Linked DNA regions of Struthio camelus. The main gene of each other region encodes a partner of the protein of the gene in region 3 in a complex. Links are inferred from orthologs where the notes say so. Each region holds a gene or a part of one and is shown on either strand. Other genes may lie near its edges.

What was found.
Region 1: CC2D2A (region 3) and B9D2 share a complex: the UniProt entries of both Homo sapiens proteins name them as parts of the tectonic-like complex. The link is inferred for Struthio camelus from reciprocal best matches to the Homo sapiens genes CC2D2A and B9D2.
Region 2: CC2D2A (region 3) and TCTN1 share a complex: the UniProt entries of both Homo sapiens proteins name them as parts of the tectonic-like complex. The link is inferred for Struthio camelus from reciprocal best matches to the Homo sapiens genes CC2D2A and TCTN1.

The regions. Positions count from the first base shown.
Region 1 is NC_090957.1:701,393-712,007, forward strand, and holds B9D2 (B9 domain-containing protein 2), read right to left. Parts: upstream 5,269-10,615; 5' UTR 5,248-5,268; coding exon 5,010-5,247; intron 4,367-5,009; coding exon 4,241-4,366; intron 3,344-4,240; coding exon 3,030-3,343; 3' UTR 2,909-3,029; downstream 1-2,908. Other genes in the region: TGFB1 (transforming growth factor beta-1 proprotein), read right to left, coding at 827-1,163; EXOSC5 (exosome complex component RRP46), read right to left, coding at 8,199-8,291, 8,986-9,078, 9,166-9,306, 10,527-10,615. UniProt on the Homo sapiens protein: Component of the tectonic-like complex, a complex localized at the transition zone of primary cilia and acting as a barrier that prevents diffusion of transmembrane proteins between the cilia and plasma membranes.
Region 2 is NC_090958.1:18,033,065-18,043,679, reverse strand, and holds the start of TCTN1 (tectonic-1), read right to left. Parts: upstream 6,505-10,615; 5' UTR 6,493-6,504; coding exon 6,270-6,492; intron 5,941-6,269; exon of another isoform or gene 5,802-5,940; intron 5,039-5,801; coding exon 4,918-5,038; intron 2,959-4,917; coding exon 2,828-2,958; intron 2,117-2,827; coding exon 1,950-2,116; intron 1,541-1,949; coding exon 1,453-1,540; intron 590-1,452; coding exon 480-589; intron 1-479. UniProt on the Homo sapiens protein: Component of the tectonic-like complex, a complex localized at the transition zone of primary cilia and acting as a barrier that prevents diffusion of transmembrane proteins between the cilia and plasma membranes.
Region 3 is NC_090945.1:70,661,360-70,671,974, reverse strand, and holds the start of CC2D2A (coiled-coil and C2 domain-containing protein 2A), read left to right. Parts: upstream 1-4,473; 5' UTR 4,474-4,549; intron 4,550-6,237; 5' UTR 6,238-6,259; coding exon 6,260-6,298; intron 6,299-6,813; exon of another isoform or gene 6,814-6,999; coding exon 7,000-7,080; intron 7,081-7,189; exon of another isoform or gene 7,190-7,363; coding exon 7,364-7,460; exon of another isoform or gene 7,461-7,477; intron 7,478-10,615. UniProt on the Homo sapiens protein: Component of the tectonic-like complex, a complex localized at the transition zone of primary cilia and acting as a barrier that prevents diffusion of transmembrane proteins between the cilia and plasma membranes.

The DNA.
Region 1 (10,615 bases), on a different chromosome or scaffold from region 3:
TCCAACCCCAGCGGGGCCCAGGTGTCCGGGACCCTCCCACCCCGGGACCCTCCCACCCCAGCGGGGCCCAGGCGTCCGGGACCCTCCAACCCTAGCAGGGCCCAGGCGTCTGGGACCCTCCCACCCCAGCGGGGCCCAGGCGTCCGGGACCCTCTAACCCCCCCCTGAAACGGGGCCCAGGTGTCCGGGACCCTCTAACCCCCCCCCCCGAATTGGGGCCCAGGCGTCCGGGACCCTCCCACCCCAGCGGGGCCCAGGTGCCCGACCCCCTCCCACCCCCCCCCCGAAGCGGGGCCCAGGCGTCCGGGAGCCTCCAACCCCAGTGGGGCCCAGGCGTCCGGGACCCTCCAACGCCCCCCCCCGAAGCGGGGCCCAGGTGCCCGGCCCCCTCCCACCTCAGCGGGGCCCAGGCGCCCGGCCCCCTCCCACCCCCCGAAGCGGGGCCCAGGCGTCCGGCCCCCTCCCACCCCAGCGGGGCCCAGGCGTCCGGGACCCTCCAACACCCCCCCCCCTCAGCGGGGCCCAGGCGTCCGGGACCCCCCCCCCTCAGCGGGGCCCAGGCGTCCGGGACCCCCCCCCCCGAAGCGGGGCCCAGGCGTCCGGGACCCTCCCACCCCCCGAAGCGGGGCCCAGGCGTCCGGGACCCTCCAACCCCAGCGGGGCCCAGGCGTCCGGGACCCCCCCCCCCCTCAGCGGGGCCCAGGCGTCCGGCCCCCTCCCACCCCCCGAAGCGGGGCCCAGGCGTCCGGGACCCTCCAACCCCAGCGGGGCCCAGGCGTCCGGGACCCCCCCCCCCCTCAGCGGGGCCCAGGCGCCCGGCCCTCACCCTGCCCGGGGCCGCGCTCGGCCGGGAAGCGGTGCAGCTCCAGCGCGTAGTAGTCGTCGGGCGGCGGCGGCGCGGCCTGGCGGAGCCGCGCCCGCTCGCGCAGCGCCTCGCGGCTGCTGTTGTAAAGCGCCGCCACCTCCTCGGGCAGCGGCCGCGCCGGCGCGTCGGCGGGCGGCGCCGCCAGGCGCAGCTTGCTCAGGATCTGCCCGCGGATCGCCTCGATCCGCTTGCGCCGCGCCAGCTCCAGGTCGAGCGTGCGGCAGGTGGAGAGCGCCCGCGCCGCCCCCAGCAGCGCCTGCGCCGCCCCCAGCAGCGCCAGCAGCGCCGCCAGCTCCATGGGCCGCGCCCGCCGCCGCCGCCCGAGCCCAGCCGAGCCGAGCCCGAGCCGCCGCGCTTTAACCGGGCCGCGGCCCCTCCCAGGAAGCCACCGGCCGCCCCCCCCTTCCGGGCCGCCGCGGGGAAACTGAGTCACGGCCCCGCCGCGATGGGGGGGGGGACAGGCCGAGGGGCCCAGGCGCCGCCGCAGCCCCCCCCGCAGAACCGCGAGGGGCCCAGGCGTCCCGCAGCGAGGTGGGGAGGGGGGGGCCCAGGCGTCCGGCACCGCTGGAGGGGAGGGGGCCCAGGCGTCCGGCACCGCTGGAGGGGAGGGGGCGCGGCGGCGAAGGGGCGGCGGGGGGCCCAGGCGTCCGGCACCGGCTCCCTCAGCAGCGCGAAGGGGCCCAAGCGTCCGGCACCGGCCCCGCTAGAAAGGGCCCAGGCGTCCGGGACAGCCCTCCCCACTACCGGAAAGGGCCCAGGCGTCCGGGACCGGCCCCCTCCGATAGCGGAAAGGATCCAGCCGTCCGGAACGCCCCCCCCCCCCCCGCCCCAAACCCTCGCCCGCCCCAGCACGACCGACGCAGGGACCCAGGCGTCCGGGACCCTCCCCCCAGCAGAGAGGGCCCAGGCGTCCGGGACCGACCCCGCTAAAGAGGACCCAGGCGTCCGGGACCCCCCACCCCCCCTCCCCCGGCGGAGGGGACCCAGGCGTCCGGGCCGCCGCACCCGCGCGACACGGGCGCCCCCTGGCGGCCGCGGGACCCCGGGAAGGGCCCAGGCGTCCGGCCCCCCCCCCGCCGGGCCGCGAGAGCTCAGCGAAACGGGGGCTGCGCAGTAAAACCCGCTTTATTGGGGGGGCCCAGGCGTCCGGGGCCTGGGGGCAGCACTGGTGGGTCCCTGGCGGGCTGTGCCTGAGGGACCCCGGCGTCCTGCTCCCGGGGGGCCCCGGCGTCCTGGCCCTGCAGGCAGCGCTGGTGGGTCCTGGCATCCTCGGCCCAGGTGTCCTGGTGCGCAGTGTCCTTCCCTGGGGGGCCCGGGCGGCCTGGCCCGTGGGGGGCCCAGGCGTCCTGGTGCCCAGCGCATGGTCCTGGGGGGCCCAGGTGTCCGGGCGCAGCGGGGCCCAGGCGTCCGGGTGCAGCGGGGCCCAGGCGTGCGGGCGCGGGGGCCCAGGCGTGCGGGCGCAGCGGGGTCCGGGCGCGGGGGCCCAGGCGTCTGGGTGCAGCGGGGCCCAGGCGTGCGGGCACAGCGGGGCCCAGGCGTCCGGGCGCAGCGGGGCCCAGGCGTCCGGGCACGGGGGCCCAGGCGTCTGGGCGCGGGGGCCCAGGCGTGCGGGCGCAGCGGGGCCCAGGCATCCGGGCGCAGCGGGGCCCAGGCGTCTGGGTGCAGCGGGGCCCAGGCGTGCGCGCGCAGCGGGGCCCAGGCGTCTGGGCGCAGCGGGGCCCAGGCGTCCGGGCGCGGGGGCCCAGGCGTGCGGGCGCAGCGGGGCCCAGGCGTCCGGGCGCGGGGGCCCAGGCCTCCAGGCGCGGGGGCCCAGGCGTGCAGGCGCAGCGGGGCCCAGGCGTGCGGGCGCAGCGGGGCCCAGGCGTGCGGGCGCGGGGGCCCAGGCGTCCGGGTGCAGCGGGGCCCAGGTGTCCGGGCGCGGGGGCCCAGGCGTGCGGGCGCAGCGGGGCCCAGGTGTCCGGGCGCGGGGGCCCAGGCGTGCGGGCGCAGCGGGGCCCAGGCGTGCGGGCGCGGGGGCCCAGGCGTGCGGGCGCAGCGGGGGCCCAGGCGTGCGGGCGCAGCGGGGGCCCAGGCGTGCGGGCGCAGCGGGGCCCAGGCGTCCGGGCGCAGCGGGGCCCAGGCGTGCGGGCGCAGCGGGGCCCAGGCGTCCGGGCGCAGCGGGGCCCTAGCTCTGGACGCCGTAGCGGGCGAAGTGGCGCAGCAGCACGGCCAGCTGGAGGTGGACGGTGCCGGCGGCCTCGGTGCGCAGGCGGAAGCGCTCGGCGGCGCCCAGCACCAGGTCGGGGCCGCGCAGCTGGGCGCCCCCCCCCAGGAGGCGGCGGGCCAGGCGCTGGCGGGGGCCCCCGCGCGGGCGCCACGTGCCGCAGGCCAGGCCGTGCCAGCCGGCCCGCGCCGGCACCGCGCAGAAGCCGTAGCCGGCCAGGGCGGCGCGCCCGAAGGCGTCGCGGTGCCAAACCTGCAGGTGCAGCCGGGGCCACCCTGGCGCGGGGGGGGGGGGTGTCACCCGCACCGCCGCCGTCAGCCCGGGGGCCGCGCGTGCACGGGGGGACGCGCGTGTGCACGGGGGGACACGCCTGTGCACGGGGGATCATGCATGGGGGGACACGGATGTGCACGGGGGGACGTGCGTGTGCACGGGGGGACACGGGTGTGCACGGGAGGACACGCCTGTGCATGGGGGGATCACGCGTGTGCACGGGGGGATCATGCACATGTGCACGGGGGGACACGGATGTGCACGGGGGGACACGCCTGTGCACGGGGGATCATGCATGGGGGGACATGCCTGAGCACGGGGGGACACGCGTGTGCACGGGGGGATCATGCACATGTGCACGGGAGGACACACGTGTGCACGGGGGGACACGCCTGTGCACGGGGGATCATGCATGGGGGGACACGGATGTGCACGGGGGGACGCGTGTGTGCACAGGGGGACACGCATGCGCACGGGAGGACACGCCTGTGCACGGGGGGATCACGCGTGTGCACGGGGGGATCATGCACATGTGCACGGGGGGACACGCCTGTGCACGGGGGATCATGCATGGGGGGACACGGATGTGCACGGGGGGACGCGTGTGTGCACAGGGGGACACGCGTGTGCACGGGAGGACACGCCTGTGCACGGGGGGATCACGCGTGTGCACGGGGGGACGCGCATGTGCACGGGGGATCATGCATGGGGGGACACACGTGTGCATGGGGGGACACGCCTGAGCACGGGGGACACGCGTGTGCACGGGGGGATCATGCACATGTGCACGGGGGGACGCGCGTGTGCACGGGGGGACACGCGTGTGCATGGGGATTGTGCACGGGGGATCACGTGTGTGCACGGGGGGTCACGCGCGTGCACGGGGGGCGCGGGGGCACCTTGCAGGCCGCGGGTGGCGAAGTGCAGGTCGATGGGGTGGCTCCAGTAGGCGGCGGCGCCCGGCTGCGGCTCGTCCAGCTGCGTCTGGCCCTGGCGGCGGCCGGCCAGCAGCCGCCACGCGCCGCCTGCGGCACGCCGGCCCGCCTCGCACACGCGCGTGCACCCTCCCGCCCGCCTCGCACACGCGTGTGCACCCGCCCGCCTCCGCCTGCGGCACGCCGGCCCGCCTCGCACACGCGCGTGCGCCCTCCCGCCCGCCTCGCACACGCGCGTGCACCCGCCCGCCTCCGCCTGCGGCACGCCGGCCCGCCTCGCACACGCGCGTGCACCCTCCCGCCCGCCTCGCACACGCGTGTGCGCCCTCCCGCCTCCACCTGCGGCACGCCGGCCCGCCTCGCACACGCGCATGCGCCCTCCCGCCCGCCTCGCACACGCGTGTGCGCCCTCCCGCCCGCCTCGCACACGCGTGTGCGCCCTCCCGCCCGCGCGCGCCCCCCTCTGCCCACGTGTGCCCGCTCCTGCACACACGTGTGCCCGCTCCCGCACACGGCTGCGTGCTGCTGCCAGCCTCTGCATGCTCCCACACGCGCGTGCCCGCCTCTGCCCGCGTGTGCACGCTCCCACCCGCATCTGTGCACTGCCACACGCGTGTGCACGCAGGCCCGGTACATGTGCATGCTCCCACACGCGTGTACGGGGCAGCCTCCGTGTACGTGCATGCTCCCAGCCGCGTGTGCACGCTCCGACACGCGTGTGCGCCTGCCCTACCGGCGTGGACGCCCCACTTGCAGAAGAGGCCGCCGTCGGCGAAGCCGCTGGCCCCCACGATCTGCCCGATGACGTGCACCTCCGCCATGGCCGCCCCGGGCGCCGCTGCACACGCGGTCCTGCCGCACACACAGCGCCCTCGTGCGCGCACAACCCCGGTGCACACCCACCACCCTCGTGCATGCACAACCGCGGTGCACACCCACCACCCTCGTGCACACCCACCACCCTCGTGCATGCACAACCGCGGTGCACACCCACCACCCTCGTGCACACCCACCACCCTCGTGCGCGCACAACCCCGGTGCACACCCACCACCCTCGTGCATGCACAACCGCGGTGCACACCCACCACCCTCGTGCACAACCACCACCCTCGTGCATGCACAACCCTCGTGCACGCACAACCCCGGTGCACACCCACCACCCTCGTGCACAACCACCACCCTCGTGCATGCACAACCCTCGTGCACGCACAACCCCGGTGCACACCCACCACCCTCGTGCACAACCACCACCCTCGTGCACGCACAACCCCGGTGCACAACCACCACCCTCGTGCACACCCACCACCCTCGTGCACGCACAACCCCGGTGCACACCCACCACCCTCGTGCACAACCACAACCCTCGTGCACGCACAACCCCGGTGCACAACCACCACCCTCGTGCACACCCACCACCCTCGTGCACGCACAACCGCGGTGCACACCCACCACCCCGGTGCACGCCCAGCCCAGGTGTTCGCACCCCCCGCCCCCCCTTGCACACTCGTGTGCAACCCCCCGCCCCGCGCATGCGCGCTGCGCCCCCACCCACCGCCGCCCCGGGGGCTCCTCGCGCCGCCGCCGCCGCCGCGCGCTCCCCGCCGCCGCTCACACGCACTTCCGGCTGCTGTTGCCACGGCAACGCCGCCAGCCTGCGCAACGCCGGCGCCTGATTGGCCGCGGCAGGAGGGGAGGGGGCGTGGCCAGCCCCGCCCTGGCTGGCGGCGGGCAGAGCGCGGCTCCACCCCCCGCCGCCATCTTGGGAAGGTCGCGCCGCCTCCGCCGGTCCCCGAGCGGGGCCATCTCGGCCCGCAGGAGCGCGAAGGACCGGACCGGCCTCCCGGTGCCGGGTGCCGCGGCCCGGGGAGGCGGCTGCCGGCGCCACCTTGGCAGCGGCAGAGCCCTGGGGGAATGGGGGCCGCCAACTTGGGGCGAGAGGGAATAAGGAGGCGGCCATCTCGGTAGTGGCGCAGGGCGGGGCCGCCATGTTTGCGCCTGTACGGCGGAGGGCGCCGCCATCTTGGCGCTGCCGCGCTGTGGGGGCCGCCATCTTGGGGGCCTGGTTGGACGTGGCCCGACGTGGGTCAACATGGCTCGACATGGGTCAACATGGCCTGACACGGGTCAGCATGGCTCAACGTGGCCTGACACAGCTTGACATGGGTCAACATGGCTCGACATGGCCTGACACGGCTTGACATGGGTCAACATGGTTCAGCATAGCCTGACACGGCTTGACATGGGTCCACGTGGCTCGACATGGCCTGACACGGCTTGACATGGGTCCATGTGGCTCGACATGGCCTGACACGGCTTGACATGGGTCAACATGGCTCGACATGGCCTGACACGGCTTGACATGGGTCAACATGGTTCAGCATAGCCTGACACAGCTTGACATGGGTCAACACGGTTCAGCATAGCCTCACGCGGCTTGACATGGGTCAACATGGCTCAGCATAGCCTGACACGGCTTGACGTGGGTCAACATGGCTCGACATGGCCTGACACGGCTTGACATGGGTCAACACGGTTCAGCATAGCCTCACGCGGCTTGACATGGGTCAACATGGCTCAGCATAGACTGACACGGCTTGACGTGGGTCCACATGGCTCGACCTGGCCTGACACGGCTTGACATGGGTCAACACGGTTCAGCATAGCCTCACGCGGCTTGACATGGGTCAACATGGTTCAGCATAGACTGACACGGCTTGACGTGGGTCCACATGGCTCGACATGGCCTGACACAGCTTGACATGGGTCAACATGGCTCGACATGGCCTGACACGGCTTGACATGGGTCAACACGGTTCAGCATAGCCTCACGCGGCTTGACATGGGTCAACATGGCTCAGCATAGACTGACACGGCTTGACGTGGGTCAACATGGCTCGACATGGCCTGACACGGCTTGACATGGGTCAACACTGTTCAGCATAGCCTCACGCGGCTTGACATGGGTCAACATGGCTCAGCATAGACTGACACGGCTTGACGTGGGTCCACATGGCTCGACATGGCCTGACACAGCTTGACATGGGTCAACATGGCTCGACATGGCCTGACACAGCTTGACATGGGTCAACATGGCTCGACATGGCCTGACGCAGCTTGACATGGGTCAACATGGCTCGACATGGCCTGACATGGCTTGACATGGGTCAACATGGCTCAACATGGCCTGATATGGCCTGATGCAGCTCGACATGGGTCAACGTGGCCCAATATGGCTTGACATGGCTCAGCATAGCCTGACACGGCTTGACACGGGTCAGCATGGCCTGATACGGCCTGACGCAACTCAACATGGGTCAACGTGGCCCGACATGGCCCCTGACCCTGCCCAAGCGCACCCACATGTCCCTGCAGGCACAGACACGCGTGTCTCCAAGCGTGTCCCCACACGTGCCCCGCACACCCCCCATAGCCACGTGTCCCCACACGTGTCCTGCGTGCAGGGTCCCACTGTCCCCTGCCCAGGCTCCTGAAATGGGGCACCCCACATACCCGGAACCCCCTCAGCCCCCCACATTGGGGGCACCCCACGCCCAGAGCCCCCCCCACATTGGGAGCACCCCACACCCGGGCTCCCCCACCTTCCCCTCCCGGGAGGTGACACGAGCTCGCCCGGCCTCAGCCGAGGACCCCAACGCACCCGCTCTGCCTGGGGAGGGGGGCACAGCTGGGGGCCAAGGTGGCAGCAATTAGGCCCCTAATTACCCCCTGGTAATTACCCCGGGTGGGGGGGGGGGCTGCACGCAGGGCTGGAGGGGGGACGGGGCTCGGCCCCCCCAGGGCGGCGGCAGTGAGAGGCGGCAGCAGGTCGGGGCGGCCTGTTTAATGCCCCCGACGGCGGAGGGGGGTGCGGGGGGGAGTCCGGATGGGTGCGGGGGGGTCGGGGGCCCCGGCGTCCGGCGCGTCACCACTTGGAGTACTTGCGGCGCAGGCAGTCGCGGTAGAACTGGAAGATGGCGGCGGCGGCGCGCTGGGCGGCGGCGAGGCTCTGCTGCAGCTGCGGAGGGGGCGCGGGGCGTGGGGGGCCGCCCCACGGCGGGGGGGGGGGCACGGGGGGGCCACCTCACCCATGGGGGGGGCTGCCCCATGGTGGCGGGGGGCACAGGGGGGCCACCCCATGGTGGGGGGGGCACGGGGGGGCCACCTCACCCGCAGGGGGGGAACAGGACATGGGGGGGGGGCTTCCCCACGGCGGGGGGGGGTGGAACATGGGGGCTGCCCCATGGTGGGAGGGGGGGACAGGGGCCACCCGACGGGGGGGGGGTTCCTCATGGGGGGGGGGGCAGGACACAGGGGGCCGCCCCATGGCGGGAGGGGGAACGGGACGGGGGGGGGGCTGCCCCACGGCATGGGGGGGGGGAACATGACGCAGATGGCCGCCCAATGGTGGTGGGGGGGAACGGGACATGGTGGGGGGCTGCCCCATGGCATGGGGGGGGGAACGGGACATGGGGGGGGCTGCCCCACAGCATTGGGGGGGGCTGCCCCACAGCATGGGGGGGGGACACGGGGGGGGGGCCGCCCCCCGGGGCAGGACGGGGGTCACAACCCCCAGTGCGTGTGTGTTTTGGGGGGGGGGGGGAACCGACAGGCCGGGAACCCGCAGGAAACCCCTCGCTGCCCGGAGCGACCCAAACCCGCGGCGATTCGCCCCGAAAGCCGGGACGGGGGGGGGGGGGGGGGGCGCTGACCTCCTGGGGGGAGCAGGCGCCCTTGGTGGTGGCGGCGGCCAGGAGGCGGCCGTCGGGGCTGGCGATGGCGAAGGTGAGCACGGCGCGGGCCTCCTGCGGGGCGAGGGGCAGCGGGGCTGAGCCGGGGGGGGGGACCGCGGCCCCCCGGGGTGGGGGGGGACGGGGGGGGGACCCGCTCACCCGCTCCTGGCGCGCCGTGGGGTCGAGGACGAGGCGGCCGTCGGGCCGCAGGGCGCAGGCGACGCCGCAGAAGAGCGAGGCCAGCGGCAGCCCCGCGTCCAGCAGCCCCAGGCAGGCGGCGTTCAGGCAGCAGGCCAGCAGCTGCGCCCCGCGTCAAGGCGCCCCCGGCCCCCTCCGGCCCCCGCGCGCCCCCCGAAACCCCCCCCAAGCCCCCAATTCCCCCTAACCCCCCCAAACCCACATCCAGCCTCTCAAACCCCCCGAAATCCCCTCAAACCCCCCGAAATCCCCAAGCCCCCAATTCCCCCTAACCCCCCCAAACCCACATCCAGCCCCTCAAACCCCCCAAAATCCTCCCCAAGCCCCCAATTCCCCCTAACCCCCCCAAACCCACATCCAGCCCCTCAAACCCCCCGAAATCCCCCCCAAGCCCCCAATTCCCCCTAACGCCCCCCAAACCCCCATCCAGCCCCTCAAACCCCCCGAAACCCCCCCCAAGCCCCCAATTCCCCCTAACGCCCCCCAAACCCCCATCCAGCCCCTCAAACCCCCCGAAATCCCAACCCCTAAATCCCCCTAACGTCCCCCAAACCCCCCAAAGTCCCCCCAAACCCCCAATTCCCCCTAACGCCCCCCCAAACCCACATCCAGCCCCTCAAACCCCCCAAAATCCCAACCCCCCCAAATCCCCCTAAAGACCCCCAAACCCCCCGAAATCCCCCCAAGCCCCCAATTCCCCCTAGCGTTCCCCAAACGCCCCTCTATCCCCCAAACCCTCTAAATCCCTCCCCCAAAACCCCCATTCTCCCCCCAAAACCCCCAATCCCCCCAACCCCTCTCAATCCCCCCATTCTCTCCTAAACCCCCTCGAACCTCCCACTCTCCCCCCCAACCCAATTCCCTCCCCAAAATCCCCAAATCCCCCAACAATGCCCCAAACCCCCCTCTATCCCCCCACCTCCCCACTCCCTTCCTGACGTGCCCAACGCCAACAACCCCCCAAACCCAATCGATGCCCCCAACCACCCCAATTCGCTCTCCGAAACCTGCCTGCTCCTCCAAAACCCTGCCAGCTTCCCCCGAACCTCCACTTAACCCCCCAAACCACCCCAATTCCCTCCCCAAGCCCCCAGCTCCCCCCCAAACCCCATCAGCTCCCCCCCAACCCCCCTGACTGCCCCCCAAACCCTAATTCATCCCCCAAACCCCGATTCTCTCCCCCCAAGCCCCCCAGCTCTCCTCTAAACCCACCCGCTTCCTGCCAAGCCCCCGTCCATCCCCCCAAACCCTGGTTCCCTCCCCAAAACAGCCCGCCCCCCCCAGCCCCCCCCCAGCCCCCCGGCGGGGGCGGAAGCGGATACGGATCCGGCGTCGCTGAGCACCTGCAGCACCAGGGTGACGGCGGAGCGAGGGTGCAGGGCGCCCAGCAGCACCGCCTGGCACGTGCGCC
Region 2 (10,615 bases), on a different chromosome or scaffold from region 3:
CACGAAATACCTCATTATTAAAAATCTAGTTTTGTAATAAGGCATGTATGCAGAGGATTCAACCTGACAGGTTCTTAAGTACAAAGGCTTACCAGCTCTTCAAAACGCAGGCTTCCTAGAATTATGCACTCTGTTAACAGGCTTCTTAGAAGAGCTTAAACATACACGCATGCATAAAACTGCTATCATGGCACTAAGTCTATTAGCTCAGTGACACAGACTTGTATCTTCAAGACCGTTATTTTTGTTGGCTAAGCAGAGAACAGTAGATTCTTCTCTTATCTAAGCTGGAAGTAAAAACATTTTCAAAGGCTTTTTTTATAAAAGTTTGTTGCATAGGAAGGCTTTTCCCAATCCACAACTTCGACTCCAAATGAAACACCACTTTCCTTAAGAAATAAAAGCTACTTAATTCTGTAGATGCAAAAAACTATACAGTATCAACTGTCAGCTATATGATGGCTTCAAATCATACTTACTGCTAAAATGCTGGAGTTAATATAGAACAGCATACTAACGGCTTGAATGGTGCTACACTTTTCCACACTTATTAATCTACTGCATTTTGTAGCCTGGTTTACTAAGAACCCTGGAAAAAAAGTCACAAAGTATTACTGAAGAAAATGAAATAGTAATTAAGAAAAACAGAAACAAAAACAACATAAGAACATCAATTAAATACAAAACTGAAAGTAATTGTAACTTCTATTGCAGATAAGGTTTTGTGTGTGGTATAAAGCATGATATGTTCTTAGATTCTCCAGAAATGCAATGAGGCAAAACATTAGCAACTTCCTAAAAACAGAAGTTTTAATACCAGCTACAGGAAGATTTGTGATTGCGTTTTAGAAATCTCGCAAGAGTTTCTTTTACAAGAGATTTCAGTTTTCCTATGCTCATCATGATGATCGTTATTATACCATGTTCAATAATAACAGAGAATTTGGGAAGATGCAGTCTTCTCTTTTTCTCTGCAGATTTTTAGGAAACTGCGTGAAAGGTTAAAATGTAGGCCTAAGCCTGCAACTCTGACTTGAGCTGCATTCAGGCTGTGAAAGGAACCACGTTGTACCAAAGGGACGTCTTACAAAGGCTGCCCAGCTGGGTTTTGCTTTTGTGCAATAATATTTTCCCTCATGGTATCACCCTCGTATTACTTTATTAAACCAATTATGACAAACAGTACGTTTTAGTGGGATAAACAACCTATTAACAATACTCACCAGAACTTACGTATTTAAAACTGCATGTTTAACCGAGATGCAACACAGCTTCCAGTCTATATCCAAAGAAACTCACAGAAACGGAAGTTCTTCGAAAAACATTTGTTCATGAAGCTTTATCTGAATTTAGTTGGTGTGCATGCTATTTTACTGACTGATTAAACTCAAGTCAGGAATAACAGGAGAATATTCTAACCCAAATAATGCCTTTGAAAATGCATTTTCCAACCTGCAGGATTAGCATCAGAGCACCACGAGGAGACAACAGGACTAGGCAGTCTCAGAAATGCATCTGCTGTCTGTATAGGAACACCATACTGCCAAATAAAAGGACATATTCAAGCACATAGGTGCATTTCAGTTCATGGAAAGCTTTGGAGTATTTTCATTAACAACAAATCTGAACAACAGAGGTCTTTATTTACACTACATTTCTCAATATTGTCTACTTCTATGCACATCAATTCTTAAGCCATAGCTGACAGCTTTCTTCATGTTTACAGTAATAAAACAGCTACTTATTTTTCACAGATGTTAACGTAACTCACTTCTGAAGCTGGCTAACATAAAATGTTGCATTTCACTCTGATATTTTTATATTTAAAGACCAAAATAAAGTTCCTCTGTTTGAGGAAAACCTGCAGCTTCTTACAAGCAGATGCAAAGAATGCTCGCTTGCTCTGAGATCGAACAATATAATACTGATTGAATGAAACCATTGTTTACCTCATATCTGTAGGTTTCATTTGCATCAGAAGGATTTTGAGAATCTGTGTTTATACTCCAGCTATCAAATTCAGTACTGAAAGTAGCACTTCCAAACTGTTTAAGCAATTGATCAAAATTTTCAGAAGTAGGCACTTCAGGGGAAATGAAGGAGAGTGCTTGCTTATCTGTCAAAACATTTTAAAGAATGAGATAACATTTAGGATACAAGATACAGAAGCAGTATTTAGAAATAATTTTGTTTTGAGTTAAAAAACAATGACAGGAAAATACCAAAGAAGGATGAACATTCAGGAGAAAAGCTGGGTGGTATCTCAGTTTATGATTTCACCCTGATTCATGAAAATACATACTTAAACCTAAGGAAAGAGGTAAGCCTCTTTCTTTTAAAATCTTGGTTTCTAACAGCATTGTATGTTCCAAAACAAAGACCTGCTAAGTAGTACAATTTCCATGCTAAGCATTCAGATAAATACTGCACTGTCTTAATTAAATTAAGAGAATAGAGCACTCATCACTTCTCCACTTTGGTAAAATTCTTAACCAAAAAAGGTTCCTTTTTTTGAGAAAAATGTCACTTTTATCTCTAAAGTTGCCAATGGAAAGGAAAACGTTTTTTTTATTTTTATTTTTTTTTAAGTAAGCCTAGTCAAAGCCAACAGCATTCCTTCCACAGAGAAGACTAAGAAGAGTATCTGAGACGTTTGGACTCCACAATTTCACGAGTGAAAGGATTACAACATACAGCCTGTGAGCATACAGAATAATCAGTTTTCAGACAGGTTTAGTTACTTTTAATTTTAATCTGCCTTTTTGATACCTAAAGGGCTCACAAAAATAATAGTGCAATGCTTAGTATTGGCAATAGCTCTACTTACAGTTCGTAGCATGAATGCAGAAAACATTAGGATTGATTTGGTCAATTAATTTAAATATCCTTTCTGGTGGATTTGCTTCAACATCAAGTGAATATATAGCAGCTTTCTGACTGCAAAGATGGCTGTCACCTCTGTGAATAATAATAGCAAAATCAATGATCCACTAGAATTTAGTATTAACCATTTCATTTTAAAGTTATCTTCATGTGTTGAGATAGCATCAGAAAAGTACTAACAGAGTTACTCTTTTTTAAACACAGTTTATATAGTAATCCTGTATCCTTCAAAGGCTTGTATCACTTGTTACTGTGTGCTTAGTAACAAATAATAAAGAAACATCTAAGACATTTTTTTATCTAGCAGAGGAAACTGCACAAAAAGCAACATGAAATAAGGTAAGACATAGCCAGTGGTGAAGGGAAGAACCTCAGAAGAATAATACTAGAGTTAAGATGGCAAGTTGGATGGGATTCAGATGGTGTGAAACACCACAAACACAGGATGCACCACAGGCTGGACAGCTTGGAAGCACTCTTACTTATACAAGAGAGGTGGGAAGGATGACCTTTAAGGTAACATGTTGTTAAGTAGGCCAAAAAAAGTAAGTTTCATGGACATTGGAATAATATTTACCTCTGTAAAAAGACACAGTGACCTACTTCAGATGCATGTATAAGAAAGGACAAGGTGAGAAACCGGGAGATGAAATAACGATCCAATGTGGCTGTACCAGTGCCTTCACCTTCATGTATTTCTAGCATGTTGATTCCTGGCAAACTGGTGCTTATGGCAGAGCGAGTTAAAACAGTCAGGGATAGAAAGTGATAAAGCAAAATGAGTTTTAGGAACAACTTCTTATGCATGGAGCTAAACTTTTTCAGGAGGTGAACCATTTCTTAATAGGATCATATCCTAAATAAAACACCCCCGTTTTCTGCATTTTACAGACCACATAACCTCTAACTTGTGGTCAAAACCCCGTTAGTAACCATTACAATTATTCAAATGTATATAAATCTATAAGTAAATAATGAGATCCAGAACACTTGTAGTCATTGAAAATACCATGGATTTTCATGCAAAATGAAAATCTTACAGGAAAGAATTTAGGAAAAAAGATACAACTTGATTTTCTGCATTTCTAGTTGGCAAAGACAGACTAGTCACCTGAGATAATTAAACTGTCATTCAGGAAGGTGTTGATTAGACCTTTCTGATATATATAAATACCTATAAATGGGGAGCAGTAGTCATTGTGTGCAAGAACAATAAGGAATGGCAGTAGAGGATGACTGCTAATTGAAATTTCAAAGCACTGAGAATAAACTCCAGTTTCCAGATTGGCATAATTTATGCAGAAGGTAGGTTGAAGAGCTATACTTATTGTTCTGAGAAGTCACCAAGAGATTTTTACATTAAGATTCTGAAATTAACTTTAGCTTCTACTTGAGAAGATGAAATCTGGGTAAATGTATTTTCAGATAGACTGTAAGTAGCAAAGAAACAATAATCAAGAACATAATGCTGATAGTTATGTTACATTTTACTTTGTTTGTGAAGTGACAATGGCAGTGAGACAGCAAGTTGCGTACTTGCTCATAAAATTAATACCAGAGTGATTCTCCGAGTATTTCACTACAGACCTGAATCAATCATGTTTCTATCTGATGCAATAAACACCAATGAAAGAGGTTACTGATAAATTGCTGATGACCCACATGGTCAAATTGTCCCATGGTACCAGCTTTCTTAGCTTCCAGACACTGTGTTATATTGATAAAAGTCTAAAGATACATTATTCTTCCCTCTAAAGAAGCTAATGCCCACGTACAGTAGGACAGTGGAATGGGGAAAAGCAAGGAGCACAGGTCTGGAAAACAGGGAATGAGAAACTGGAGTCAGGTGCCAATTTGCTTTTCTCCTACCTGCTGGGGAAGGAAGGACTGCATGCCTAATGCAGGAGGGACTGCTGAAAAGGTAGTCAGGATGGATGGGTTAGGGATTTGTAAGAGGACAGGATAGAGCCCTTACAAATGCACGCAGCAAACAGGACAGGAGTTTGTATTTCAGAAAACCATTTATTCACTTACGTGACAATAGGAACTGAACATGTAGTAAAGAGACTGAAATCTGCTGCACTGCAGTCAGGGTCACAGCAGCAATTTACATCACACTGCGCCACCAACAGATCACAAACACACAGCTTGGCAACTGGAGAAAAAGATTTAAATTAGTGTTAGAATCAAATCTAAACACATTACAATATGTACTCAAACACTTTAATTTTTCACCTTGCCTAATTTTGACAATGGTCAAAAGTCTACATCCAAATTCACTTTTTTTTTTTTAACAAGTCATTTTAAAAAGTTATCTTTTCCAAGGCATACTATAAATCTGATCCTGTGTTCCCTGTGAAATCAAAAAAGCAATTGGAGTTAATAGGAATGCTGAAGGTATTAAAACGTTATGTAGTACTGCTGAGAAAAAAGATACAAATAATGGAGCAACGCTAGGTTTGTTTCAGCTGGGGGGGATGGGGGGGAAGATGAAAGGAGAGAAGGGTTATCCTACAGCAATGAGAAGTTTAGAAGTATCAGACGTGTCCCAGGATACAGTAATGTTTCCCTGATGTTGCAATATAACTAGAGTTAATTTCTTTACAGTTGCTTTTTCTCTGTGTCTTCGGATACTGTGAATATTGCAATAATAAGGAAGTAATCACCAGCAATATGGTGAACTGTCTTGACAATATAAATTTAGCAGCTTCTTAAAATATTCTTCTGTTCCCAGGTTTACAAATTCAGAGAACAGATATTAATTTACTTAACTGGTTTTGAAAGTGGCTGTTCTGTATTAATCTAGATTTAAGGGCAGCATAAAATGTAGAAAATGAAGATCAGCACTGCATAGGCCGGACACGAATGAATATTTAACCTCGTAACTACCACTTCTTTCCTTTCAGTTTGACTGTTAACACACTTCCCTGTGGCCCTCCAGAAGCTCTCTGCCCACCATGAACCGTATCCAGCCAGTTCTTGGAATTTCTGAAGTTCTGACTGTTCTGTCAGCTGAATTTAGGATTGGAGTCTTCTGCTCACCTTGTTGTAAACAAGGTAAGTTTAAACACAGCAGGGGTTTAAGCCTCCCTTCCCTAAGGAGGCACACGCTAGGACGCGTTTAATTCCGCAGGTGATCTAGCGAAACGGAACGGAGGGAGGCAACACTGGGAAATCAAAAGCTGAACCTATCCGCTGACTGGAAGAAGCGGGAAAGGCTTGCCGAGGGCACAGCTGTGACAGAATATTATCTATAGGGTCCAGGGCCGAATGAGGGGCTCGGGCGGGCCATGCCCAGCCCCACGCGCACGCAGGGTCTCCCCGCAGGCCTGGGGCCGGCCCGGCCCGGGGGAGCCGCCCAGCCCCCGCCCGGCCCGGGCACCCACCGTCCGTCACCGGGGCCGGCCTGCGGGCAGCAGTGGGGGGCTGCGGGGGCGCCGCGGGAGCCACCGCGCCAGCGCGGGGCAGGGGGCCGCGGGGCTGCGCCAGGAGGAGGAGGAGGAGGAGGAGGAACGCGAGCCGCAGCGCCGCCATGGCCGCCCCTAGCAACGGGCGGGCACCGCTCCTCCCCCCCGCCATCCGCGCGGTTGCTAGGGGAGCGCGGAGCATCACGGGAGGGACGGGAAAACCCGCCCGCAGCCCCGGGGCATCATGGGAGGGATCCCTGGAGCATCATAGGGGAGAGAGGCCAACCTGGAGCCCGGGGCATCACGGGAGAGAGGCCAGGCCCCGGGGCATCACGGGAGAGAGGCCAGGCCCGAGCCCCCGGGCGCCGTGGGAGGGGGGCTGCCCCAGGCCCCACGGGACAGGCCGGCGCACCCTGGGTGCTGTGGCGGGCCGTGAGGGGAGGCTGACCCCAGCCCCGACCCTGGCCTGACAGAGCCACCGCCGCTGCCCCCGTGCGCCCTGCGAGATCTCGCTCCGCACAGGGAGGCTGGGCACTACTGGAAAACCATATGCAAAAAAAAAAAAAAAAAGAGGGCCCCCCCCCCCTTGTGAGGTATAAAATCTTACAATTTGTATGTTTATGCAACTTTTTAAAAAATAATTCTGTGTTTCTTAAACTGTAATTTTAAAAGTATTCATCTTGGGTTTTTTTCTTTTGAAAAAGCTGCAGGTTCTTTTGGTCTTTAATGCGCATATTCATTCATATTCATATGCACATATTCATTTATCTTGATAGTACCTCTGCAGTATATACAAGCATTTTTATACCAACTTGATAGTTGGGGAAATTGAGCTACAGAGTGACTAAATGATCAGGGTTCCTTAGAGTTAGCTCACAAATATTAGCATCCAGGCCTTGGGTCTAAGCAGGAATCAACGTGCGCTTTTTAAAGTTAAACTTTCTGAGATTTGTCTTTTGCATTATCTGATCTAAAGCGGCTTTGCAATGTTTGCTCCCGCATCAAAGCGCACAGTGCATCATTACAGAGTTTCTTATTTTTCTTTTTAGGCTCGTTCCTATCATCTTGAAGGGAAGCCACTGAAAGCTTCGGGACCACAAGAGGGCGTGTTCTGTTTTGCATTTAACGTATTTGACCGCTCTCAGTGCCAGTCACAACACCTGAACAGGTTAACTTCATGTTTGCATGCAAATTTAGTGTGCTGGAGAGGTTCCAGGTTCTTCTATTGAAAACTGAAATAATTCCACAGCGCATACAGCATCTTTGCCATTTCTGTCCTCTGCCCGAGTGTGTCATGCCTGGCCTGGACCGACCACATCTGAAGAGGAGATGAGGTGAGTTAATTAATCTCTTTAGCCTGCTGAGGTTTCTGCTGCTCCACTGGGACTGTACAAAAGCCAATTATTGACAAAAGTGTTGCTGAATTATGAGAGACAGGCTATTGTCTGCCGCACAAGGTACAGGGCTACCAAGGTCATTTTGATTGTATCACATAGCACAGCTGGTAACAACTGCCAGTTACGAGGATGGCTTTGAAATAGCTCCATATCAGTTGGCATCGAGTCATCCTTCCTCTTGGAAAGTCATCAGTGCACTAAGGACGTGGTGACATGAAGGTGAGAATCTGGTGTACTCCATTGGACCTAAAATCTCAGGGTACCTTATATGCAATAACTGTCTGACCTGAGTCGCCATTCTACAATCCTTCTGTTAAAACAAGTATAACCTAAAGTTACTGTATTTGCCTCCTTCCTAGAAGCAGGAGAACTGATGTAGTTTGTTTCTTTGCTGATTCTGAGATTACCTTAGTTTGATTCAGCTGGAAACATTCATGTGTTTCCCTTCAACAAGGTCTCCAAAATTATGTTACTGGGTTTTGGGGTGGGGTTTTTTTTTTTTTTTTTTCCTTTTTCAGGCTTGAAGAATAGCAGTGACTTCACCTACAGTTCTGTTTTAGAAAGGGAGTGTATATAAAAATGGCATTGCAGGAGTACTTTTTTGCTTCTCATTTAGGCTGTGCCAGGACTGGCTGCAGCCACAGTGGAGACTATGTGCAGGGGGTGGGAGGGAAGGGAAGGTTACATGGTCTCCTTAAAAAAAAAAAAAAAAAAAAAAAAAAAACAGGTATTTGACCCTGCTTAGTACAGCAGATAGGCATAGATAATAGATGTCAACTGAGGACCTATTCTCAGCTAGCCAGAGTTAGAAGTCTTACAGCTTGAAGAAGGAGGCCTTAGGCCTCCTCTGTAAAGGAGGCTTGGTTTCCTGCCTGCTGAAAGGAGAGTGAAGCTCTTTTCTGCTGTCACTGTTGTGAAGCTTCCACACCCATTTGCTTGAGGGGAAAGTAAAATAGATTTTTGAAGTTTTTCTAATTGCTGTGGTGCTTGTTGTCCCAGCTGAGAGAGGCATTCCTGTAGAAAGGAACCTTCTACCATGTGGCTGCTCTCTCCTCCGCTGTCATGTGTTTGAGATCAAACCTCTCCCTGGACAATGCTGACTTGGGGGTTTACAATTCCTTGAATTTCCTTGACTAATCAGTTCCCATTTACCACATGTGGTCAATTAACAAGAATGAAGAGGTCTTTCCTACCTATAAGTCCTGCTGCAAAATTTGTGTCTTAGAATTTAGTCTGTGGGCTTGGAGGGAGAGTGGTGCTTAATTTATGGTTTTCCTCTTTGAGTATCATCACAGGTCATATACTGTCTTCTGTTTCTCTTGTGCAACTGCACTGCCATCAGATGAGATAATTAATATTGAAGCACAGCACCCCTGCTTGTTAATTTACACATTTCTAATGGATTTGAAATCAGTGAAGAGCTCTGCTCTGTTGATAATGCGCAAGAGACAATGGAATTTAACACATTTTTTTTCATCTGGAATGACTTGCAAAGCTGATGGCACACAGCAGAACAGGATCCTAGATGAAACCCAGGCTGTGCTGAAGTCTGTGAGTTGGTGCCAAGCACAGATTGGACTCTGACCGCATGTGCGCAGAAGCTGAATAAGTAAGAAGATACCATTTCTCACCACATCTACCATTGAAATAGAATAGAGCAAATGGGAAAGTGTTCAATATCAAAGTATAGCGTAATGAATCAGGTTCTTTCATGACAGTTTTTTCAGAAGTAAGGGTTTACTCAGTCAGACCAACATTTCACCTAACCCCATCTCCGATACTGGCCATAATTTAAATAAAAAAAAAAAAAATAGGGCAAGCGTAGGTGCTGATGTCGCTTCAGTTTCCTCTTTATTATTGCTTTGTTAAGTGAGTAACTCTGAATTTCTAAATTATGAAATGTAATAGTTTATTAAAGTCATGAAGCTTTTCTGGAGATATCTACATATTAACAGAATGCAGTAAATTAGGTCCATGCAGAAACAGATACAAAGAAAATGGCAATAGAAAAACAAAACTTTGTCATACAGAAAAGAAAGGCTAGACAAAAACCAACTATAAGAGAAAACAGTTGAAAAATCTCACCACCACAGAAAAACCTGTGTTAGTCTTGAGAAGTAGGTTCCAAAGCGCAAGCTCTGCAACGTGTAGGACAAGGTCAGGACATTAATAAATAAGACATGTTCTCCATCACAGAGCTTTTAATTTATCCTATCAACATGAGTTAGTTAATAATTAACAGGACACTGTGATCCTCATATAGGAGGTCCTATAAAAATGAAAATTTAAGGCCCAGTAGATTGCTGTCTATTAAAAGCATTTTAAAGGACTTACTGTATTGTTACTGCAGTTACATTTTAAGGAACAAGATTTTGATGTGCATTTAAACATAATAGTGTGGCATTTGCAACCCAATGTCTTTAATAGAACACTAAGATTAAGCAAAAAGCACTGCTTACATTTCAGTTTTTCTATCCAAGCTTATTTTAGTAAATCAGTAAGATTATTTTTTTCTATGTAACTTTCACCATAACCCTTCCCCTTAAAATATTTAAACATAAAATAATTTTAAAGAAATTATTGCTGTTCCTCGGGACAAAAGATATGACAGTTTTCAGAACAGTGCACCAATATCTAGTCTGAATGAAGTTACTAACATGCAAGTCTTCGTGAGCAAACTGGCAAAGTCAACGTGTTTCTCTGCAGCAGGGCAATGAAAGAAGTTCTGCTCATGGACAGACATCCTTTTGATGACAGTTTTGACAGTTTAAATTTATTTGGGGCGTTTAAACTAACTCGGAGCAGGATTAGCTTAATCAGCCTGGTCTTCATAAATTAATCAAGCTGTTTGTTGGCTGAATGTCTGCTGTTCCCGCTGTTGTATGATCTGTAGCATTTTGGTGAAGTGTTTCTTCTGAACGCATCGCA
Region 3 (10,615 bases):
GTATAAACTATTTAGACTTCAGCTTACAGAACGCTGAGAGGTAATATTCATTTCAGTGTATTCACTTAAGTCAACATTGCCAGCTGGGGCTATATCAGTGTTTCTGACATATCAGAGGCACAATTCTTCCTCATACGGGCATGAAAAAATTCTGTGTACTTTAAGGAAGTTCTCAGTGTCTGATACTTGATTTTGCCTTTTTTATACATCGTACCAACTCATGAGAGTTATTACCTAAAGCAAAAGAAAAATTAAGTACACCAATTATACATTGATATTGACGATAATACCTACAGTTTAGTAGTACATACGTTACAAAAAAAGGTATTTTGAACTATTTGGTATATGGCTTATAACCCTCAATTCTGAGTATAATTACTTTGGTATGGTCCAGCCTCTACCTGATGGGGGCTGGAAGGAAACTTTTTCCTAGATGTAGATTGTTCCTGAAGCAGCAAATATTAGCATGAAGTTCATCTGACTGCAGTCTCTAAAAGATCAGTGCGTAGGTTAAGCCAGTTGTTAGCTCTCCTGTCATCACTGCAAAGATACGGACAACTATACTAGAGAACTACTTTAAGACAAAAAATCTGGAGGTACCTGCCTTCTTGCATTAATAGTGAGGGACACCAAATTGACTAGCTTAGGTTAGAATTTAACTTTGAGATGGCAAAAGTTAAATAAGATTTCTGCTCTTGGAGAGCAACCTGCTAAGTGGGAAAAGTGGCTTAATTTAGTATGGCAAATTACACGCCTTATAACTAAAAAGAAAGCTTGGATTGACCAGCAGAACACGGAATCACCCTTACAAAGATGCAAGGGACCTCTTGTCACAGCACCTGTCAAGTACTGCTCAAGTTCCTCCTGGGACACCTTCAATTGCATTAACTTGGCTATCCTCCAGAATATTATTACAGTTTATTAAGGCGGGCTAGATAATCTTTTCATGTCGCCAAATTCAACACATTCAAGTATATAGAAAATACCTGACTTTCAAAGGAGACTTAATTTGAGGTGTAGGAAACCTAAATATATCCTAGAATGTTTCTGCATACACCAAGGAAATGACAAATTTGTTTCTTTTCAAATTTAAAGCACCTGTCAGAATCCTAGACACAATACAAAATATTCACAAAAATCACCTTGTTAATGTAGTGTTAACAAAGGAACAAAACCTTTGAATTCTTGAAAAAGGGATAAATGAGTTCAGAATCATGTTCAGAATGCTCCAGAAGTGACCTCTTGGCAAGAGTAGGTAAGATTTCTAGAACTGAGTAAAGTGTATAAAGAATAACGTACTTTGTGACTTTTTAGCACCCACAGAGCTAATGGCACCCACTAGCACTTTCCGCAGCGTACGGTGGAAAGGATTTAAAACTTTGAGTTGAAAAACAGTCTCTTTAATCATCGGAAAAACTAGTCTGCCACTGATGCTGATGTCCAAGCGGCAGCTTTGCTCCTCTCCAGCACCACCTGTAGTCACCTATATTCTGTCAGATGTTCTGGTAATGAGCAGTGATTTCTTTTTCTTCTCTGACAAATCTGAGGGCATTTTATTGTGATTTTCTATCATGTTGGAGCAAGGTGCAATCAGTTAAAGAAAATCAAGATGAGCACAATTTGCTCCCCCTTGGTTATCTATCTCCCTGAAATTGGGATCATTTTAGAGCTGCATATACTAGCTCTTCTAAGAATGCAGCAACATGTCCTCATATTTTGTAGATGCTGTATGGATGTCGTAAGAATTGGAATTTTGCTTCTGTTTCCATTTGTTGTTACAGGATTTGGCTTTGATTCTGCAGGATAAAAGAGCTGTACATGGCATTCCTGACCTTACTTTATCCTTGCAAACTGAAAATAAACTCTATCCTTTGTTGCTTGCTATTCATCTTAAAACTGCTCTCCCTCAGGTCATCGGGCCGGCAATCCCTGTGCCATAGGCAGGACAGGGTGGCCGCATGTCCCAGAGGGCGAGGACGCGGACAAAGCGTGTGACAGCTCTCCCGCGAGCGAGGGAGGGCGAGGGAGGGGAAGCCCAGCCCGCCTCCAGCCCTCGCTCCCTGGGCTGCCTCTTTTTGGGCAGCTGGCCCCGGGGGTCTCCCATCCCTGCAGCAAGAGGTGTGGGAACGGGGCAGAGGCAGCGTGGCGGCCGCCAGCCTAGCGGCACAGCTGCAACTGCTGGTTATTGAGGACCAGCATTATGATTTTGCTTCGCCCCATGGTTTGTTGCATAGTTTGTTTGTCTGCTCTGCCTGTGCCAAAGGTCATCCTGGGCTGTCATTAGCAAAATAACAGCTTATGCCTAAGCGAGTGACAGTGTTACACCTAACAAAGTCGAGACAGCTCATTCAGAGCACGACATCTGCTGTCCAGGGTAATCAGACATTGGCCTTGCTGTTGTTTTTATAATACTGGCTGAAATAAATGTGTTGAACCTAGCTCCGGGAAACGTATGTGGTTTGAATTCTGTATTTCTCCTGTGAGTACAGCCATTGTACTGACGTGTTTTTTACGTAGCTCTCCATCCTGCTAGGCAAAGGTCCCCCACTGCTCCTCCAGGGTAGTGTAGTGATGTTCCTTATGTAACGCTATTCATATTTGTCCATCATTTAAATTGTTTGCATAACTGTTTCTGAAACTAGAATAAATTGTTGGGAAGCAGACTTATTAGCAAAACAAGATGTTTAATGTGATTCATTGCCAAAACCCTATATGAAGGCTCACCCACTGGATCACTTCCACGGTGATACAGTGAAGCTCAGCAGGCACTGGAGGCTCACTGCTGCGTATGTGCATGTGCCGCACCAAACCGCTCTCCTGATCACATTCCTCTCCCCTTCTTGTAATCTGTTGGCACGTAAGGTGTTTCCTAGCCGTGATAGTTCCTCTCTGCAAATTAAAAACGCTTACACCCAATCTTTTCTCTACTGTGACTGTTTGCTTCTTCCCATGAACCCCTTTTTGATAACAACAGTACTCAGAAATAGGAAACAACTTAGCCACCTCTTTTCATGTCACTTTAGGTACTAAAACTTTGCAGTAATGGACCTGCAGATGTTACGAAGGGGCAAGGATAACCAGGTCTAATAACAGCTCCATTTGGTATCAGCAATAACATTTATTCCGTTCATAAGGAAGATATTAATACAAATGTTTAGATAAGAAATTACTGTTCACCAAATTCAGTGCAGCAAAAAAGACCCTCTCTATACTTGATAGGAATAGTATCAATTACTTTGTACCTGTAAAAGTTAGGAATTGTATACAAGTCCACATTTCTACAAACTATCTGGAACTGCTAAGATACTCCTTCCACTGCTAGTATCTAGGTAAGATGGTTGTGAGCACTCAACAAGCAGATAACCCATCCCTCCACTGCTTCTCTAGCCAGGGGTGTCAGGGATTGTATTTCCCGTTAAGCAGCCTCTAGAGAAATCTGAATGAAACCTTGATACCCTTCTTTTATTCTGCTATGGAAGTAATATAATACAGTAAAAACTTTAAAAATAAGAAGTCCTATCATTTGTCTTACTTACTACTTTGGTTTCATGGTCTTCCTCCTCCAAAGTCAGATCATTTAGAGATACCTTTTTAGTCTTGATGTGGTAAAAAGCCTGTCTTGGCAAAGTGCAGCTGCTGAAAGCTTATACTTCTTTTTTTTTTTTCCAGTGTGCTATGTTTCCTGTGACTTTTCCCAAAAATTACAGGCTAAGAAGTTTGCTGAGACTTATGTTGATCCGTTAGGATCGTCTGTAAACAATAGGATACAGCTGTCTTCTTGATACAATTTGGGTTAATATTCTTTCTGAATATTTTAATGCATTGGAAAACAGAGATAGCACTTGAAAAACTGCTGGATAGTAACTTTACTTGAAGTAAAGTCCACTTTAAGGATTTATCCTTACATCATTAATGTCAGGGTTGAAATTCAGACTGAAATTCATCCAAGTAAATTTTGCTTATCTGAATGTTGGCATGTAGTCTAAACTAGGGGTCTACTATCACCCTGTAGTCAGCAGGGGGAGGTATGCTCCTCAGCAAACAATTTACATTCAGGAATATATAACTTAATTGCTTTGAATCTTACATGTCCCATGGATAGCATATGCTTCTCCTCTGGTTACAGAGGAAGTATAGAGAAATCAGCCAGATAATTTAGCAGAGCTAGGTCCTTAAAGTTAGGAAGAGTGACTATTTTTATTGTATTTCAGTCAGAAATAATCATTTCCGATCCTGCAAAAATATACAATGCATATTCTTTTCCAAGTTACTGCAGTAATTGAAATGTGTAGATGTTTGCAGAAGCTTTAAGCGCTTCCTCTTCCCTATGCTTTATTCATGACTTTCTCACTCCCTTTTCCTTTAGAAAAATAGTTTATAAAAAAGACATTTTCCAGGGTTTTTTTTTTCAGTGGCTTATGGGAGGGAATCTGACTCTTTCTCTTTAAAAAGGAAGGCCAGTGGTTTCCTTACAGCCTGTTGCTAGGCTGAGAGTGTTTGTGGCTGGCTGTTGTCTGTAGTCCTGGAGCTGCTGCATAAGAAAACCCAGGTAGGAAACAAATGCTTTCTTTTAGACCTCTTTAAATACCACTGTGTTTTCCTTGCTTTCATGCATGAGGCCGATTTAAGAATCCAAAATCTTCAAAATTATTTTTCACACATTTTCAAAGTAATCTTTTTTTTCAAAGAGAAGTTAGAGAAACTTCACTGTACTTCTGTTTTCAGTTTTAAGTGCTTTAGAAACAACCTCTGAGCTGAGAGAGAGCTTTATAGTTCTTACATTCAGTTGTTTATTACATTTTTAAATGCCTGCTGTAGTATTTGCTTTCAAGAAATGCTAGAAAATTGTTAAAGACAGTGGCTATACTGGTCTTCACCTATGTTGTGGCATTTTCCATTTACATGTGCCTGTAAGATAAGACTGTTTAAATCTGTTATGTAAATGCTTGATATGAAAAAGACTTCTGTGCTGAGTAATAAAAATGCTGCAGATTCTTGCAGTGCGGTATTTTCTCTGCCACGAGGATGGCATTTGATGAGACTTGCACGCAGCAAGGAAACATTCCAATTTTCAGCCATGTCCTTCTTCACACTAGTGCAACATACTTACAGAGGGAACTGGTACTGAGATGAATACAAAGGTGGTTTGGCACATAGTCACATCTGTCTAACGAAAACACTTGCTCAGGGCAAGTTCCTCACTGTGCTAGTCAGGGAAGCTGTCTGGCAACCTGAAAATCCTTTGGGCCTAGTAGCTGGTAAGTACTAATCCTTAGGCAGGAGATAATGCAATTATTTACCACCTTCCTACATCCTCCATTGGCTCCTCCTCCATTTTTTAGGCACCTCCTAAAAGATAAAGAGGAGTTTGAAGACCAGCCTTGCCTGGCCTGAAAACATTATTTGAAGTAAGAGTGAAAGAGCCTTTACATGCCCAGTACTAAAAAGGATGGAGAAACCAAGGATGACCTGTGTCGGCCTCCGTTAGCCCTCTGGCTAACGGAGAGATTCAGCCAGATATGAAAACATGTCTCATATGTCTCAATCCTGTGAGTCCTTTCATGGGAATTTTGAAATCCAGACTAAATTATGCTGCTGTGAGTCATTTTTAGATTAGTAAATCAACACTTGGATTTTGCACTAGTGCAGCTATGGTGGTGCAGGCCAAAGGCACTTCCCTGTTGATTAAAGGTAATGCAGTGCAGTACAAGAAACTGAAACAATAGTAGTAATGAATTGAGTTGTACCAATTTAACTAAAAAATTCTTCGAATGTTTGTAATCAACTACAACTTCCTGGTGTATATAAAATCATAGTAATTTGATGGATTTCAGACTTGGTAAACATGAAATGTCAAGCAAGCCCAATGCTGAGAGAGAAGAAAGGGATTGAACATGTCTCTGACATCTGAATTTCTGTGAATCTGCTCTCTGGTCAGGAGACTTTATGGACTCTGGGTGGGTTATTTATAAAAAAACATGCAACAGGTGACCTTCATATAGTGGCTCACTTTATTCACTGTTATATAGAATTATTAAATAAACTGACACATGTATTTTGAATTACTCAGTTTTCAAAAAAATAGCATTTTTTTAAACTATTAAGACTACATGTTAAATGGTACATCATTTGAGTGTTCAGGGTGCACAGGTCACATGGAATGATCAGTGTGCACACAGTAAAGTGTCTCTGACTGTAAAATAACTGCTCACAGTTTCTGTGTTTTGGTTCTGCCAGCCAGGTGTGAGCTACTGAATAGATGGACTGCAGTGAAGAATCCCGGATGATAATCATGGAGGTTAGTGTCCCCTTAGTTGAGACAAAACCGTTTTAACATCATTTCTCAGTGAGAGTGACAGGGATTTTTTGCATACGTAACTGACCTATAAGACGTTTTAGTGTTACTAAAATTACCTTATATGCTCTTGTTGTTCCCTAGCTCTGTACAGTGAGTACTAATTAACAGAGGCTTGTATAATTATTATATTTCTGGGCAAATACATTATAATCATAACCACATGGTGTGAAATATACACTTTTTATATACATTGCTATTGTTTCACATTGGTGTAACATATTGGCTGGATTAAATTATTAGTGAAATGTATTTTAAGCTCGAGTGCGTTATAAGAACAGGAGGTTACTAATCAGTAGAGCTACTTTTTTAGTTGGGCAACTGCATTTGTGTTTAAACTGTGCCTAGAGAAGCATGTTATGTCATGGCCAAACAGGTAGCTGACAGGAGGAGATGAAATGAAAAAATGCTCTAGAGATGACCTTCGGCTTTAACCCTGCTAATCCTTACTACCCTCCACACATTTGCGTAACTTCAGCCACGTGTCACGAGTTTCAGGACTGGGGCCTGCAAACGACATCAGTGAAATACAGACAGGCAAAACTGCTTAAATCGCAGCACTTGATAAGAGTAACAGATGACTTCTGTGGGCCGGGAGAGGGGCCCAGTCTGCGGCCCACAGCACAACTCCCTCTCTCTGAAAGGATTTCCTGGATGAGGACGCTGCCCAGGTTGAAAGGCTGAAGCGGACCTTGACAGCCCACAGGCACCGAAGAAGAAAACCGGTGAGGGTGTTCATTTGTTCATTTGCGACGGGCGGCTCCGCAGCGCCAGCAGCCGCCGGCCCGCCGCCGTGGGCCGCCCTCAGCGCGCCGCACGCGGCCGCGCATGCGCAAGCGGCCTCGGGCGCGGCGCACGCGCGCTCCCGCCCGCCCCCTCCGCCGCAGGCTCGGGGGACCCCCACGGGGCCGGGTCAGCGGCAGGTCGCGGCTCTCGCCGTCTTTCCCCCGCTCCCCTCACCCCCATCCTACTCATGCGTTCTCCTGCTCCGTCTCTGCCCCACTGCAGCTGCGGGAAGCTGACGGTGCCCCCGAGCTTTCGCCGCCGCCGCCGCCGCCGCCGGAAGGGAGCCGCGCCAGCATGGCGGCCGCTCCGCCGCCGCGCGGTGAGTCACCGTCCAACGGCTGCGGCGCGGCGGGAGGGGCGGGGCGGAGCGGCGGGAGGGGCCGCCGGGCGGCCGGGGCCCGCAACGGCTGTGGGCGTCCCTGCAGAGCCTGATGAGTTTGGTGGATTTGCACAGGAAAACGTTCTTCTGTATCACTGAAATACCGCTTGATTATTAAAAGTTCTTGTATAAAATAAACAGTTTCCAAAAAGGCGCGTGTGGGCACGCAGTATTGCCGTAACTGAACGTTAGCCTGTGCATAACCTGCAAAGGCAAAGCACAGCCTCTTCTGCTTTAAGTCTCGTTCATGATTATGACAGTGTATGGATTTATTGCCAGGGTATTTTACTTTGCATGTGGGAAATGGAGCATGAAATCTGTATGCAAGAGTGAGGTAGCGTGAACCTGCAGAAGGGCAGTGTCTTACTGTGCGCTTGGAGAGCGTGGAGGCTGCTGGTATTCAAAAAGTCATCCTCAGTTTCTGTGGCGGGATCTTTGTCTGCAGTGTTTCTGTGAAATACTTGAGGGAACATTAATACTGTGACTCTCACTACAAGGTTTTTATGGAATTACGTAAGTAGGACACACAAAAGTGTTAATGGAACTGCGAATTAAAAAGTCAATAAAACCAAAATTCACAACAGTATAAACATGCTCAGCTTTTCATCAATATTTTGGGGATAAGGTAATATAAAATAAGGTCATAGATCTTCCTCCTTTTATTGACAAATGATATTCGTTACAGACATCTACAGCTCAGGGATGTTTGATGTTTCCCAGTCTTTTAAAATCAGTGTAGTTATCATTTGTTCTTTTGAGTGTTTTTCTGAGTCTGATTGTGACAGTTTGTGCTAGGAAATTAGCCACTGTTGACAGATGGGAGTCCAAATAGTTTTTACAATTGATTGCATGGGGAAGTAAAGAGAAACCCTCTAGAGACAGTTGTTTTCCCTAACAGAAGCTCATTTTCTAAGAATAAACAAAACAGCACAGCAGTGCTCTGAGAAGAACATTAGCCATTAGTTCCCTTCTGTGATAAATTATTTTTTTAAGCGTTTTTCCATTACTCCTTCTTGTTGCTTCTTCTGAAATCTCTCAAATTCCGCTAACTTTGTTGCGATTGAGTGAAAAGTACTGCATATGGTTTGAATTAGACTGTGTCATTGGTTTACCTAATTGCAGTATACTTTATTATTCTAATTTTTTTTTCATGCATTTAAAATTTGTAGAAGGACTGCATCTTGAGTCACAGTCTTCACTGATCGATCTAGAACTACTTTCAGAGTTGTGGGGGGTTTTTTTCTTTCACCTGGAGCTCAATCTGATAGGTTTATAAGTAATTTAAATTATCACCTTCTATATGAATCTTTGAATATGATATCGCTAAAGTTTGTTTGCTAGTGTTTTGCCCAGTCATAAGGTAAAAATAGATGCCTTTTCAGTTCCTCACTACCTTTACTGGGCTGGTGATCTGCACGTGAATTTCTGCTTACCATTGTCTCATCAATGATAACTAACAAAAACATCCCACTATAAAAACTGCTATTTCCCAGTTGCCATTGAGAAACTCCACGTAGACAGTCCTCTGCTATTTTGTTTTGGTTTTTGTTTTAGTGTCTGCGATAATACTTTGCCTCTATTCTTGTGCCTTTTTAGTTTGTCATGGTTGTCTACATATTTGCTCATTGTTTATATTAAATTTATGCATTGTGGAAATTGTATTTTAACCCAAGTGGGAAGTGGGTGATGTTTGTGGCATTTTCAGCACATGATGTCCCCAGAATATTTGTTTTATTGTATGCCTAGCATTGTACTATCCCTTTGTCATTCTCTTCGCAGTCTGGCAATGTTTATTTTGAAACATATCCATTAACTATTTCTTCACTTAATATTCACTACAGAGTGTCTTTTTGTCAATATTAGTATTTCAAGTGTTTAATTGATCTTTACTTTTTTTAATGCAGTCCAATGGCAGAAATTTATTATTTTCCTGTAATATAATTTTGCATGTGCTTGGATCCCTAAATAATTTTCTTAAATCAAAAAAGTTTGCTGTTAGTCCACTACTTAGACGAATAAATAACAGTTGCAAATCATGTGCTGTTTTAAAGAAAAAGCCTGGCTTCTGATAGCTGTTGCCTTGTGAAGTCAGGACAGCTACTGTGTTGCAAAATCTTTATTTTTGCTCTTGCTGTTTTTTTTTTTTTTTAATTTTTTAGTTAAAGTTTTCGGAATGTCTGAGCATGCATTTCTATACAATCATTGTATCTGTGCAAAATACAGAGGTGCTTCTAGGGCTGGGGGTGGAAGTCAGGATTCCCTCTTTTCTTTCAGTCAACGCTGATGCTTTGCCACAGCATAACTTTTGGGTGCATCTGCTTTCCCTTACGCCTGGTTTCTGCATCCTGTTCAGATATGGGATTGGTAGTGTGGCATTTGGAGCAGTTCTAGGTTTCTATAGAGTCGCATAGAGCCCTGCTGATTTCAGGCTTTTCCAAGTACTGATGAAATCAATAAAAAGGCTTATTAGAAGACATTTTCAGGCTCTCAGTTCTGCCTTAATTTCGCTATCCAGCTTCCTTATTAGATCTTCCCAAAGGAAAATATGGAGCCATGGTAGGATATTTACACTACCAACATAAAAGTGCTCTAGTTAATTCTCAGCAGTTCAGGAAAGAGTTCAGGTTGTTAGAAATCCTGCTCCTGAGCCATATTCTACCAATGGTGGCACTGCTGTGCAAACTCTGCAAGGATCCTGAGCTGTTATTACTTGTTGGGAGGTTTTTTTCTGTGTTTCCTTTTTTTTTTTTTTAAAGGCCCAAACTGGAAATTCCTAACTGTTCTTCCTCTCTCCTGTTCTCTATGTACAGCAGCATGCTGGAAGCCTCCCTTCATCTGTTCTTCCTGCACAGGGATATGTGACTGTTGTGCATGTTTTATTTGTGCGTTTTAAACCACACATACAGTTCCATCTCAAAAGGCTGGGAGGAAGCAGCAACAGTGTTTCTGAAGTTTCTTAACTTTAAGAACTTGCATTAGCTATTCTTTGTGCTTTACTGCAGGCACTTTCTTTTACGTTTATTTCTAATAGATTTAAAATGTAGCTTGGTACAGCGCGTCGTGGAAAATTTATATTTAGCAATTTTTGTATATTT